Linked DNA regions of Caenorhabditis elegans. The protein of the gene in region 1 purifies or fractionates together with the protein of each later gene. This does not show direct contact. Each region holds a gene or a part of one and is shown in the gene's direction. Other genes may lie near its edges.

Region 1 (4,450 bases):
TGTGAAAATACATGTATTGATTCGTTTATAAAATTTAATCTGAAACTTTAGAATTTTATAATTTCAGAAAATAAAGTACTGTTTCAGAGTTTTCTTTTGAAATATAGGTAATTGGTACGTCGTCAATTCTTCATAGAGTAGTTAGATTCCATAGAAATCCAAATGTTAACTACAAATATACGATGTCCAATCGCATTTTGAGCAGATCTGCATGACAATTTTTTCCTAAAAAGTTAGGTTCTCTGATCTAAAGCTGATTCTTGTTGTTTCTTTTTCAAATGTGAAGGTTTAAAGCTGAAGAATTTTTTGTAATCGCTTAATTGTCGTTTTTTAAAAGCATTTTCAATGTTTCTATTTCACGCTTCACATATAACCCAGAAGCTCGCAAACCATTCATTGTTTGACAAAGAAAAATATGACATAATGGCGGAGTAAAAGTCGAGAACTTCCTCAAAAAGATTTTCCATTTTAATCCCATTTGTCAACAGTAAAAATACACAATTACTCCCACGATATTTATTTTTGAAATGGGTTAACTATTAGTTTAATTATTGATATCTTTCCCTCAACCTGTTCTATCAATTGTTGATGCAGTTTTTATTCAGTGTTGCAAGGTTGATGGTTTATTTCTGTTGGGACAGAAAAAGAAGAAGTAAAATAACTAGTTCGATTTTAAATTCTCGTGGTGTTTGGAAGTTTGCAACAATTTTAAAGTGTTAGATGACTCACAGGGTTTCAGTTTTAATAGATTTTTTAGTAAGTTTGATGGTGGGCGTCATTGGAAATTTTTTTAATTTATTCTATTCAGAAAATTTTAAAATTTTGGAAGTTGGTCAAAACAAAATCTAGTTTCATATTTTGATCATGTTTTAATAATTTGTACTCAAGCATCATATGGATTAAAACCTGTAGAAATGCTCGAAACAATTTGCAGAATGATTCACTCCAAAATCTCATTGATTAGAAGTCTCCCAGCCGTCATCATCATCTCTGTGCCGACATATGTTTTACTGAGAGAAGACCTAAAAAAGAGAAAAAGATTACGAAATAGGGAACGGTGATGAGAAAATAGTGTATAAGAATAAGAGATTTAAAGAAAAGGGCGTTGCCTTCTTCTATCCATTTTTTCTACGTCCGCCCGCGCAATGTTCATAGAATTAGAGACAGAGAATCAATGAGAAAATTGAGAAAAAACTGTTTGCAAATAGACATAGAGACATACAGTCATCGGGTTTCTTCTACCATTTTTCTTCTTGTTCTCGAAATTTTCGTTCACTTTTTTCTGGATTACACTAACTATTGGTTGTGGAATTTACAAAAGACTAGGCCTAACCCTGGTACTTTTAACTGATTTAAAAAAATGTATCAATACGCTTATTCAAGTTAAACATGTTTCAGTTTGTTGGTATACGTGTTCGAACTTTCAAACTAAAGTTTATAAAGATTAAAAGCTTTAGAAATCAACTCATATATTTTGTAATAAGTTGCAGTAATTACTTAAGAGTTACTTAAAAATTTAATTGACGGAAGTCAATTAAATTTTATAATGCCCAAGTTATTTATCAAGAATATTTATTTTTGGCAGCTCACATCTCCGTAATTTTTGAGTGAATTGAAAAATTCTTGTATCAGATTCAAATTTAAAATATTATTTTTTAGTTTTTTAGATTGATTATGAACAGTTTCAACCTGTTTAATTTCAATTTCTCAAGATTTTTGAACATTTCCTAACTATAACAAACAATTTGCCTCATTTCTCCAACCACACCCTACTTCACTCCCATCCTTCATCGCCTCATAAAAGGAAATGCAAGGATCTTTTTATTTGGATGGTTTCAAATTGAAATTTGAAATTGAAAATGGAAATTCTTTTTAAATTGTAATTTTTAATTTGAATACTCTCTTTTTTCTGTGCCACCCGTTCTGTCTGATGTTCCATCATATTTATTTGGAACTATTCTTGTTCGTTCTCTTGACCTGTTTTTCATTTCCGCTTTTTATTTATTTTTATAATTGAAATTTTAAAACAAAACTTAATTTTCAGAATGCCCGAGTACATCAAGCAAGTTGCAATCACTGGGGACATTTCCAGAATAGGAACTGATGTATGTTTACTTTTTTTTAAAACAAGATATGAATTCTAGTAATTTAATTTTAAATGTGATTATTTAAGATTTGATGCATCAAATTAAAAATATATTTTCAGGATGACCTGATCCGAGCCTGGTGCTCCGAAGTGGCCAAGGAAATTTATGAGCAAAAGTGTGAATTTGCTGTTGTCCACGTTCAAGGTCTTCACTCGGCTGAAAATCCAGATTATGCTGCAAGAGTTATTTGTGGATGGTAAGAATTTTTTTCTTGAAAATTTGAGAGAGTTTATGACTAAAAATATTTCCAGCATCACTGATAATCCAGAAATCTACAGAGCTTTTGATAGCTCTATGGCATTTTTTGATACCAAATTAACTGTATGTTACACTTTTAAAAATATTTGGAAATTCATTAAATAAGTTCAGGGTCTTGGAAACCTGTATCTTTTCAAGAATCACTCAGATATACAGTACTACGATAGATTTTCTTCAACTGGGTACATTAATGTTCGTTCTGGGCATCAACATTCAATTGGTTAGTTTTTTTTTTTGGGATTTTCGTGTACTCTGATAACGTAACAAAGGTATTTACATTTCGTAAATTTATTTCATGTTCTAGTAAATTTTGTACCTTGACAGGTTAGTCATTTTGAACTACTCTATTCTTAAATTCCCCTAAATGTACAAAAACATGTGATCTTGTTTCCAAAAAATTTCAGGTTCCAATGAATGTGATGGATTCATTCAGAATACATTTGGACAAAACTACACTTTTAGAAGAGATTTTTATGTAAGTATTTCTAACTTTAAAATTAGTATTTTCAATTAAAAAACCCTGTTTCAGAATGATGATGGAACTCGTGATTTGGCAAATCAAAGAACTGGATTTCTATTAGCCAGATTTCGAATTCACGGAAAAGAGTTAACATTTGTTAATCTAAATCTGCACTCTGTTCCATTCGAAGATGTAAATGAGATTGCAACAAAGAATTCCAGTATTACAAAAGCAGCATCAAAAAGGGAACAACAAATTGAAATGCTTTTAAAAGAGTAATTATATTTAGCTATTAATAAACGTTTGAATGAACAAGAATTTCAGATTGGATGAAGAAGGTCTTCGAAACGATGCAATCCTTGTCGCTGGATCCTTCAATTCTCAACTCCATGAAACTGATCTTTTGAATTATTTGGCAAAAACTCAATTGGTTCAAACTGTTGCAAAGAAAGATGAAGATGGAAATGTTGAATCAATTGAGCACGTTGATCGGCATGGAAGAAGAACAACCACTGTTGAGAGAACTCGATTTGATCTACATTCAATTCATGATTGGTTCTTCCGATTGGGAAGAGGACAAATGGTTAAAAGATATAATGGAGAATTGGCTAATATTGCATTCAAAGGAAATTTGAAAGAGGAGACATGCTTCTTCCAGGTTTGATCTGAAAACTTTGAGTTTGCCTAGTCTTCAGCTTTCAGCCTTCTCGTCATTACGAGCTTAACGACAGTGGGAAAGAAGAGTTTCAGAGGACTCTTTGCCCAGCATGGAGTGACAGAATTTTGTATAACGATCGGATGAATGAACTTTTCAAGCACGTAAGTTATCAGCTTGTTTTTTTTTTTGCTGCATCGTTATATTTTCAGGATTCTTTCTGTGCATCTGGACTGTACTATGGTCTTGTTGCTGAAGAGAAGTTTGTTGGTCCTCACAAGCCAGTCGCGCTTCATGCTTCCATTTGCTTGAAATAAAATTTATATTTTCACTGTCTTCATCTATATTTGTTTTTTGATTTTGAATTTAATTGAAATTTGTCGGCGCTAATAAACTTTTTTTTAGATCGATTCGCTTTTTTGTTGTTAATTTTTGAGAGTTACATCAATTTTTAAATAATTTTCAGACTATCAATTAGTCTACACACTAAAAAAGTTTCGGAAGTCCGCTAATATTTTCAGACACGTATAATAATTCAAGTTTTGAAGAGTTTCAGAAAAAATAAATGTCTTTAAGAAAAAAATATTTTTCTAAAACACTACATGTTTGACTCAGTTTTTAGTTATCTCAATATTCTTTCAAACATCAGTTTAAAATTTTTTATTAAAAGTAACTTCAATTTAAAGTTCTCAAAAATGAGTGCAGTGGTCAGAGAGTGAGGTTTCAGTGTGTTATTACCTAGGGGGCGGGGCGCGGGAAGAGTCGATTTGCACGTGATGCCAGGCCATTACTGTTTGATCTACAAAAATGCGGGAATTTGTCTTCAAAAAAAAAGTGACTCAGCACGTTCTTAACCATGCAAAATCAGTTGAGAACTCTGTGTCTCTTCTCCCGCATTTTTTTGTAGATCTCCGTAGTTCAAGCCGAAAT
Region 2 (4,513 bases), on another chromosome or scaffold:
CTTACTTACTCTTCTATAAAATGAGAGATCAGAATGTGACGAGGAGTATATTCAAGTGAGTTGGAAACCCCAAGAACTATAAATCTGGGAAAGAATTTCCTGAAATTCAAGAAAATCGATAAATCCTGAGAACGGCTTTTTTTGAGACGAAGACGTTCAAATAATTGAGATAGTTTCCAGCACGGTATTGATAGTATGATAGTTGATTAGAAAGCACTATTGTAATAAGCAAATTGATAATTGAATTTGTAAGCATTGGATAAAAGTGAGAACTGATTGATTCAGCTTCAGATTTGGACAATTTATATATTCCAAATCTAAATAATAAGTTCCACGACCGAGGTCACGCAAATTGAAAATTTTTTTCTTAAATTTTTCTTTAAAAAATTAAATAAAAATTTTGGATTTCAATAATAAGAAACCGTGATTTGCTTGTTTTTTCAAAACTTTTAGGCAAAGATTTCATAAATCGCCAAAAAATTGTGAATTTCTGTGGTTATTTAAGATATCCTGCAGGTTCGAGCTCCTAGAATTTGAAAAAAACAATTAGTACGAAATTAGTAAAAAAAAACCAGGATAACATATTTTGACCGACTTACAAGGTAATGCTTGAAAACTGAATGTTCAGAACTTTTTCACTGGAATAAAAATTTCAAAAAAGGTTTTGAAAGTTTTTCCATAATATTTTTTATTTTGGAACTAGTTGTTCATTTTCAAACTGATGAGTTTTTTTTTTTTTTTAATGATTTAATTTTTAATGATCACCGCGCTGGGTTTTTATCAAAGTAACCTATTCCGATCAATGAACAATTTTTTATTTCAGACGCCACTACTCGTGTGATCCTGGAGCTCCAGAAGAAGTCAAAATTTAGTCATTTTTCTAGATTTTCATAAATTCATCAATTTTTTTTTCCACGTGTTGTTCATTGTCTTCATTTCTTTCAAAACCTGTTACCATGTTTTTAGATATTACATCTTTGATTTAATATTTATATATTTTTCATTAATTTTCCTAATTTTATTGATTATTAAAATAACAATTGTTTGAATCCACGGAGACCGGTTTCAGTTTTTTTTTTGTTCCCCGAAGAGAATAAATTAATTTCAAAATTAAAATTCTGTCCTTGACTGCAAAGGAAAAAAAGAAAAAAGAAATCAAGATAAGCCGATGAAAATTGATAAGAAGGGGAAAAGATAAGATACGAGTTCCAAATATTATCTGTTTTTAGTTCAATGCATTTTGAGGCCATTCACGTGCCATTTTGCAGGCCTACGTGCCTGCCTATCGCCTGATTTCTGAATTTTGGCCCGTGATATATGACGCCATTGTTTTGTTTTTTTTTCACATAAAATCACTGTCAGTGAAAATTTTTAAAGATCAAAAAAATAACCAAAACAATTAATTTTTGATCACAATTTTATCTGACCTGAATGGTTTAAAATGGGAACATTATCTGTTTGGGAACCTTCAAAAAAAATTTTTTTGCTTTTTTTAAAATTTGCTTTTGGTTTTTGAAAGCTTTTTCTAGGAATTATAGGGTCTGTCATCATTGTAGGTTCTTCATGCGAACGGGCCTACGTGCCTGCCTACAAATTATTTGCTTCGCTTTCAAGAGGACTAACATGTTTCCTTTCAGTAGAGTGTAGGCATGAGGCAGGCAGGCATTTTTAGCCACCTAAAAAATTTCTGGAAAATAATACTACGTGTGTCTTATTCTCTTACCATAACTGACCAGCTGCCAAATTTGTTGGCAAACAGTTTTTGCCCTCAACAAGCTAACCACCTGATTCTCTTTCTCTCTTCTCTTTTTTGTGTTTCTTTGATTATTTGACACGTGCTATCAATCGCATTTTTATTTTTTTATTTCAGAATTTTCTAAATTAAAAAAAAAGCATATCGTTATGTCAAGTGAAAACCAGAAAATCGTGGTTTTCGGAAGTATCGTTCAGGATCTTGTCAGGTCTGTTTTTTTTAAATTTTATCTTTCATTAAACAATTTTACATTATAAACTACCAATTTCCAGCTACACAGATAGTTTCCCAAGACCTGGAGAGTCGGTGCGCGGTCACAATTTCAAGCTGGGCTCCGGCGGAAAAGGCGCCAATCAGGCAGTTGCTGCGGCTCGCCTAGGGATCAATGTCTCAATGATTGGAATGGTTGGAGAAGATATGTTCGGAGATTCTAATATTAAGGATTTGAGCAGCAATGGAGTTGATACAAGTTGTGTGGGACGGACCAAAAAGACACATACCGCCACAGCGACTATCACTGTTAACAAAGAAGGTTTGTATCCGAGTTTTGGCGGGAAAAAAATATTTAAGATTATGTGTGGCCTCTTGAATGTCTTGAAGAAACATTCAATATTTGTAGCAAGACCCTACCTCTAAGAAAAAATTGCCAACCGGGTTAAGAATAAGTTCCTATAGCTATATCTGTTCTTATAGCTCGTAGATCACTGAAATTCTAATTTTGTTCTGAAAACGATTTGTCTACGTTCATAGAATCTATTTTCTCTTTCTTTTTCCCCCATTTTTTTGGTGACGTAATATAAATAACTTATTATTTCGAAGAACCTTCAGTGACGACGACAAACAAATAACTTTGAACTGGAACTAATAGTAAGAAGTGGGGGAGAGAGGGTAAGGAGAATTACAAATTTTTAGACTCAAAAAGTGAGCTCAAAATGTGATGCATCTAGTAGAAAATTGGAATTTGACATATGTAGAAAAAATATTTCAAATAGCATCTACAGACATGAAAAGTTCGATTTGTTACAGTGCAATTGAGGTGTAAAACTATTAAAATATGGTAAATTCGAAAAATTAAATTTTCTTGATTTTCAGATTTACATGAGACTTACATTATTTCAAATCCAAATTCCAAAATTTCCAGGCGAAAACAACATTGTGGTGACGCTGGGTGCAAATCTTGAAATGTCGCCTGAAATCGCTGATGCGAACTCTTCAAAAATTGCTGGCTCGAAAATGGTCATTTGTCAGGGAGAAATTGACGAAAAAGGAAATAGAAGAGCCTTCGAAATTGCTAGAAGTCACGGAGTCACCACTTTTTTAAATCCAGCTCCTGGGGATCCGAATATGGATAAGACGATTCTCGAGCTGGTTGATATTATTTGTACCAATGAGAATGAAGTAGGTCTATGTTATTTTTTCTAATCAATTGAACTTTTCCAAATATTGTTCTGAACAAAAAATAAATTAAATTTCAACTTTCCAGGCGGAATTCATCACTGGAATCGCTCAAAACAACGTGAAAGACGCTGAAAAAGCAGCACGTGCAATGCTCAAAATGGGACCTCAACATGCGATCATAACTCTCGGAGGCAAAGGTTGGGGGACTTACACTGGGATAATTTGAAACAATAAATTTTTTTTTGAATTGTAGGTGTCCTGCTTGCATCCAAAGGAGTCGATGATGTTGAGCATACCGCCGTGATCAAAGTCGATGCAGTTGATACTACGGTAATACTAAAAAATAAATTTTGTCCGAGCTTGGGTCCCACCACAATATATTTTTTGAAACGAAAGAAATTAGTTGCCTTTCTAGTTATTTTTAGTTAAAAATGTTGTGCATGGGCCTCTAAAAAACTACTTTATCAAAATCAAAATTTTTGGCGCAAGTTTTCTACAGTAACCTGGAGGAAATATGAACAAGATCAATCTGCATATAGGTATAATATTAATTGAAAATTCCAGGGAGCCGGTGACTGTTTCTGTGGTTCACTGGCTGCTCATTTGGTTGCCGGCCATCCGATTTCCGCATCAATACGCTCGGCTGCCAACTTGGCCGCACTTTCTGTGACACGTCATGGAACTCAATCGAGTTATTGGAAGCTCGACGAGATTCGCCAACAATACCCGGAATTCTTGCCTTAAAACTTATTACAGTGTCTTTCAAGAAATTTGTGATTAGGTCTGAAATAAAAATTCTGCTTTCCAAACACATTTTATACTTTCAATATGTTTTAATTAGCTGTTGAACATTGCAGGGAGCCTGAATTTTTTGAAAATTTGGAAATTTACCGTTTAATGTTAATGTTTGTTCCAAAATAACACAATTCTCCTATAATGAATTTCTTTCCCGTTTTGTTATTTTCCTTTTCAACAAATTTAAATGCTGAAAATTTAATTTCCAGAATCGCATAGTCATTGTGTATAAAGAAATTTGCGTAAATTCAATTATTTCATTGTTTTCGTTTTTCGAGCGAGTCGAGAGCTTCTCCGATAAAAATACAGACGAAAGACAAGAATGATGAATTAAATAATATAAGAATGACGACAAATTGGAAAATGTTTAAATAGTAGATGGGACGGGGGGGGGGGGGGAGGTCTTAAACTAACATTTTACGAAAACTGATCCGCTATTTTCATGAGAGACTTGAATTAGTGTCTAGTAGGGAGGAAAATTGAGAAAGCGGTGTGCCAAAAAGACAGAAATCCTTCCGGCGGAATGAAGAAAATGAGATATAAACCGGGGGAATAGTCCGTTAAAGT
Region 3 (5,647 bases), on another chromosome or scaffold:
CATCGAAACACACGAAAATACTTTTAAAAAAACAAGCCGAGTTTTTTTTTTGGTAGTTTTCAGAATTTTTAACAGTGTTATTCATTTACCAAGTGTACTCCCTATTAGTTATACAGTGTGTAATTTTCTTGCATTTCTAAGAGTCATCCTAATATTAGAACTTCAATCAGTATTTCAATAATTCGGGACAAGACAAGGCGTACCTTGTAGAATTTTCAGATAATTCTTCAATTCCTGAAAAAATAAACCTAGACTTGTTCAAAACGTTTACACATGTTAGCACTTGTCTTGCTTTTTACAACTTAAAAGGCTACTAGAGGTAATACGGGGAATGATTGTGAGACCAATTTTAATAAAATACGTTTCTATGAATCTCAACTTGGGATCAAATAAAAATATATATGCAAAGTCTTTCTGAATAAAACATGGTTATACAATGATACGCGGTAAACTATGAAAAACGGTAATTGTAATATTATGAACCAGCCGTGGTCCGCACCTTCGGCGCGGCCCCCGACTTCTAGGGCTGAAAATCAATTTTTATGAAACTACCGTAACCCTACAGTATTCCTACCGTACCACTATTGTACCACTACAGTACCCCGACTATATCCCTACACTAACCCCAACTCACTATCCCTCCAGAAGTCAAAACTTCACAGACTACAAAGACTACATAGACTACAAACTATGGACACACAGAATAAGCGCTTTATATTATATATAGTAAATTATCATGAAGAACAGAGACATATGAAACAAAAATATCAATCAAAAAACCAACCAGCTTGTGCTCAAACATCTTCTGTTTTTTTAACTTAGTAAATTTTAGTCACGCTAACAGAAATTCCGTACTCTATGAATTTTGTGAACTACAGATTCTAGTGATTCTAGATTCTAGTGTATTAGTTTAGTTATAGCATGGATTCGATTGCATTTTTTCAAATGTTTTTTTTTTTGAAAAATAAAACGAATTTTTGCTCTTCAGTTTCCCAAAGGAATTTCCACCTCACCATCAATCTGTGCAAAGTTCTCCCACTTGATAATCTTTTTTAAATGATCTGATATCAATGATAACAAAAGATAAAAAATATCGGACACAAATCTCTGAATTTTCTTTTTATCTCTCAATATGTCTGAGAGCGCATTGTTTCAATTCTCAAAAAAACCACACTGCAACATTGTCGTAACCTCTTGGGTCAAGTACGCAACGTGTATGCAGATCGGCCCTCTTCTTCTCTTCCCACCGCACACTATTTCACTGTGCACATTTACCTTTTTTGACTGTTTCTTGAGTTCTGAGATGGTATCGTTTTTTCTCGCCGCCTTTTTTCTCGACATTAGCCTTCTAGAAACACTGGACAACGACGCAATTTCGTCCTAGCTGATATGAAAGATGACTATCTTCGACCGACCTTGGCACACACACACACATACACAACATACACAAAACGCTCTCACATTCAATACAGCCACACACACTAAGCGCGCTCAGACACACACAAAAACGGACAGGTCGACTACACCGATTCGGCACGCCTCCATTAGTTTTCCTCGCATTCTCTTTTTCATTACAATGCACTTTTGTCGTTCTTTTCTATCGAAATCCTTTTTTTTTTAAATTTTTTCCATATCTAACTTTCCAGATATGGCTTTCAACAACCTTATCCGCAACTTGGCTATCGGAGATAACGTCTACAAATACTTTGACTTGAATGGTCTCAATGATGCTCGTTACAGTAAGTATAACTATTTTACATCCTATTCTCAATCTATCTAAAATATATCTGCATATATTCAATTTTGGAACTTTTGTAAACGAAAAAAAAAACAGCGAATTTCGACGAGCAAGAATAAATTCATTATGTTAAAGTCATATATAAATCATTTTCTTTAAAAACCTTCCCAAAATTTTCAGACGAGCTTCCAATCTCCATCAAGTACTTGTTGGAAGCCGCAGTTCGTCATTGCGATGAGTTCCATGTATTGAAGAAGGACGTGGAAACCATTCTTGATTGGAAAAACAGCCAGCGTAACCAAGCTGAGATTCCTTTCAAACCAGCACGCGTTATTCTCCAAGATTTTACGTGAGCTTGAAAATAAATTACCAAATTTATGTACATCAAGCAATTTTCAGTGGAGTTCCAGCCGTCGTAGATCTTGCCGCTATGCGTGACGCCGTTCAAAATATGGGTGCTGACCCGGCCAAGATCAACCCAGTATGCCCAGTTGACCTTGTCATCGATCACTCCGTGCAAGTCGATCACTACGGAAAGTACGTTCTGCGCAACCTGGTTTATACATTTATTGTATTTTTTTCAGCCTTGAAGCCCTTGCCAAGAATCAGTCCATTGAGTTTGAGCGAAACAGAGAACGCTTCAACTTTTTGAAGGTAAGGAAAGGTGAAAATGCCACTTTCAGAGTTTCACTGTCACGTTTTACTCTCCCCATCACTTTTCGGAAAATCACGCTATGCATTTGATTGCCCTTATCACTACTTTGTTCAATGAACACACAAATATTCAGATAGCTTAAATGAAATTGTATTATCAAATTATTTTCAGTGGGGATCCAAAGCTTTCGACAATCTTCTTATTGTACCGCCAGGATCTGGAATCGTCCATCAGGTTAATCTTGAATATCTTGCCAGAACAGTGTTTGTTGGAAAGGATGGCGTTCTCTACCCTGACTCCGTCGTTGGAACCGACTCCCACACCACAATGATTGATGGAAGTGGTGTTCTTGGATGGGGTGTTGGAGGAATTGAAGCTGAAGCTGTGATGCTCGGACAGCCAATTTCCATGGTTATTCCAGAAGTTATTGGATACGAATTGGTTGGAACTCTCAGTGATACCGTTACCAGTACCGACTTGGTTCTTACAATCACAAAGAACCTTCGTGATCTCGGAGTTGTTGGAAAGTTTGTTGAGTTCTTTGGAACTGGAGTTGCATCGCTCTCCATCGCCGATCGTGCAACAATTGCTAACATGTGCCCCGAATATGGAGCAACAATTGGATTCTTCCCAGTCGATAGCCGTACCATTGACTACCTCACTCAAACCGGACGTGATACCGATTATACTCAACGCGTGGAACAATACCTCAAGTCTGTTGGCATGTTCGTCAATTTCACCGATGACTCCTACCGCCCAACATACACTACCACTTTGAAATTGGACCTTGGAAGTGTAGTGCCAAGTGTCTCCGGACCTAAGCGTCCACATGACAGAGTTGAGCTTGCTTCTCTGGCTCAAGATTTCTCCAAAGGGCTCACTGATAAGATCTCCTTCAAAGCTTTTGGCCTTAAACCAGAAGATGCCACTAAATCTGTCACAATTACCAACCACGGAAGAACCGCAGAGCTTACTCACGGGTAAGACTATAAATTAGAAGTACATGCAAAAAATAATGTTTCTTCCAGATCCGTAGTTATTGCTGCCATCACATCCTGCACAAACACCAGTAACCCAAGTGTCATGCTCGCAGCTGGATTGGTTGCCAAGAAGGCTGTTGAGTTGGGATTGAATGTCCAACCATATGTGAAAACATCCCTCTCTCCAGGATCAGGAGTCGTCACAAAATACCTGGAAGCATCTGGTCTTCTTCCATACCTTGAGAAGATTGGATTTAATATTGCTGGATATGGTTGCATGACATGCATCGGAAACTCTGGGCCACTTGATGAGCCAGTAACAAAGGCCATCGAAGAGGTATTGTTGAAACTACTGTTTTCTTTTCAAAATAATTGTTTATTCAGAATAACCTTGTCGTTGCCGGAGTTCTCTCTGGAAATAGAAACTTTGAAGGAAGAATTCACCCACATGTTCGTGCTAACTATTTGGCATCTCCACCTTTGGCTGTTCTTTACTCGATCATCGGAAACGTCAATGTTGACATTAACGGAGTTCTTGCTGTTACTCCTGACGGAAAGGAAATCCGACTAGCCGACATTTGGCCAACCAGAAAAGAAGTTGCCAAGTTTGAGGAGGAATTCGTGAAGCCACAATTCTTCCGCGAGGTGTACGCTAACATTGAGCTTGGATCCACGGAGTGGCAACAATTGGAGTGCCCGGCTGTCAAGCTTTACCCATGGGACGATGCCTCTACTTACATCAAGAAGGTTCCATTCTTTGATGGAATGACTAGCGAGCTTCCATCACAATCCGATATTGTAAACGCACACGTTTTGTTGAATCTCGGTGACTCGGTAACCACTGATCATATTTCTCCAGCTGGATCAATCTCGAAGACCTCTCCCGCCGCCAGATTCCTTGCTGGACGTGGAGTAACGCCAAGAGATTTCAACACTTATGGAGCTCGCCGTGGTAACGATGAGGTAAGAGTTTATTCATTCAATATATGATTTTCTAAAAACTTTGAATTTAACAACACATCACGTTTTTTTTTAAATTTCAGATCATGGCTCGTGGAACATTCGCCAACATTCGTCTTGTTAATAAGCTTGCGTCGAAGGTTGGTCCTATTACACTCCATGTGCCATCTGGAGAAGAGCTCGACATCTTTGACGCTGCTCAAAAGTACAAGGATGCCGGAATTCCAGCCATCATTCTTGCTGGAAAAGAATATGGATGTGGCTCATCTCGCGATTGGGCTGCAAAGGGGCCATTCCTCCAAGGAGTCAAGGCTGTTATCGCTGAAAGCTTCGAAAGAATTCATCGTTCCAACCTGATTGGAATGGGCATTATTCCATTCCAATATCAAGCTGGTCAAAACGCTGATAGTCTCGGACTTACTGGAAAAGAACAATTCTCAATTGGAGTTCCAGACGATTTGAAGCCAGGACAGCTCATTGATGTGAATGTATCCAATGGTTCAGTTTTCCAAGTCATCTGTAGATTTGACACTGAAGTCGAACTCACCTATTACCGCAACGGAGGAATCCTCCAATACATGATCAGAAAGTTGATCCAATAAACTGTTATTTTAGCTTAAATTTTTGAAAGTCAATTTTTTCTATTTTTAGATAACTATTTACTTTTCGATGCATCAATCCTTCTCTATTTTCTGTGATATTTTATGAACATGTTTGAAGTCCAATAAATTTGTGATTTGGAGCAACGAAATAAATCAATACTTTTTATAATTGGGCTATAAAACATGTGGATGGTCAAATTTATTTTAGTTTTGGCGTCTCTGTTTTGCTAAAACCACTTAAATTCGTAATATTTTACTAAAACTCAACAAATAACGTATTTCTACTATTTATAGGAGAAAGAAATGTGCTTCCAGTTTGACAGTGTTTAGGATATAACATTTTGCAACTTTTTCTTAAAGGTCGTCATCACTAATTGTATTTTTTGTTCTCTCAGTCATAAGAGTATAAATAAATAAGAAAACATCTTCATTGAGAACAACAAAATTGGGTGTAAAAGCTCAAACATTCTAGTTGTTTGAACAAAATGAACAGAGAGATTACGGTATTTATTTGTACTGAACTGACTTTTTATAGACTAACATTTCAGCAGTTCATTCGTACTATTCAGTCCCATTTAAAAGTGCACACTCACCCAATAAAATCTCAGTTGCCCTATAGCTAACATCACTAAAGTAATATGAGACCCTTGCCAGCGCAAAAGATATTTTTATTTCAAAATAAGTAAATTTTGCATAACTTTACGTTCTTTGC

Evidence for each region.
Region 2: the proteins of C01B10.3 (region 1) and F07A11.5 fractionate together in Caenorhabditis elegans (co-fractionation; one large-scale study listed by BioGRID). This does not show direct contact.
Region 3: the proteins of C01B10.3 (region 1) and aco-1 fractionate together in Caenorhabditis elegans (co-fractionation; one large-scale study listed by BioGRID). This does not show direct contact.

What each region holds. Positions count from the first base shown.
Region 1 is NC_003282.8:6,618,947-6,623,396, reverse strand, and holds C01B10.3 (Endonuclease/exonuclease/phosphatase family protein), read left to right. Parts: upstream 1-2,044; 5' UTR 2,045-2,045; coding exon 2,046-2,105; intron 2,106-2,206; coding exon 2,207-2,343; intron 2,344-2,398; coding exon 2,399-2,468; intron 2,469-2,516; coding exon 2,517-2,625; intron 2,626-2,809; coding exon 2,810-2,880; intron 2,881-2,934; coding exon 2,935-3,140; intron 3,141-3,189; coding exon 3,190-3,523; intron 3,524-3,567; coding exon 3,568-3,684; intron 3,685-3,732; coding exon 3,733-3,837; 3' UTR 3,838-3,929; downstream 3,930-4,450.
Region 2 is NC_003280.10:11,610,435-11,614,947, forward strand, and holds F07A11.5 (Ribokinase), read left to right. Parts: upstream 1-1,865; 5' UTR 1,866-1,902; coding exon 1,903-1,961; intron 1,962-2,025; coding exon 2,026-2,285; intron 2,286-2,894; coding exon 2,895-3,151; intron 3,152-3,236; coding exon 3,237-3,348; intron 3,349-3,404; coding exon 3,405-3,481; intron 3,482-3,715; coding exon 3,716-3,895; 3' UTR 3,896-3,957; downstream 3,958-4,513. Other genes in the region: F07A11.4 (ubiquitinyl hydrolase 1), read left to right, coding at 1-55, 824-872.
Region 3 is NC_003284.9:11,338,228-11,343,874, forward strand, and holds aco-1 (Cytoplasmic aconitate hydratase), read left to right. Parts: upstream 1-1,646; 5' UTR 1,647-1,648; coding exon 1,649-1,739; intron 1,740-1,918; coding exon 1,919-2,087; intron 2,088-2,137; coding exon 2,138-2,275; intron 2,276-2,322; coding exon 2,323-2,392; intron 2,393-2,564; coding exon 2,565-3,373; intron 3,374-3,421; coding exon 3,422-3,710; intron 3,711-3,757; coding exon 3,758-4,336; intron 4,337-4,416; coding exon 4,417-4,935; 3' UTR 4,936-5,100; downstream 5,101-5,647. UniProt on the Caenorhabditis elegans protein: Catalyzes the isomerization of citrate to isocitrate via cis-aconitate. Has probably no RNA-binding activity.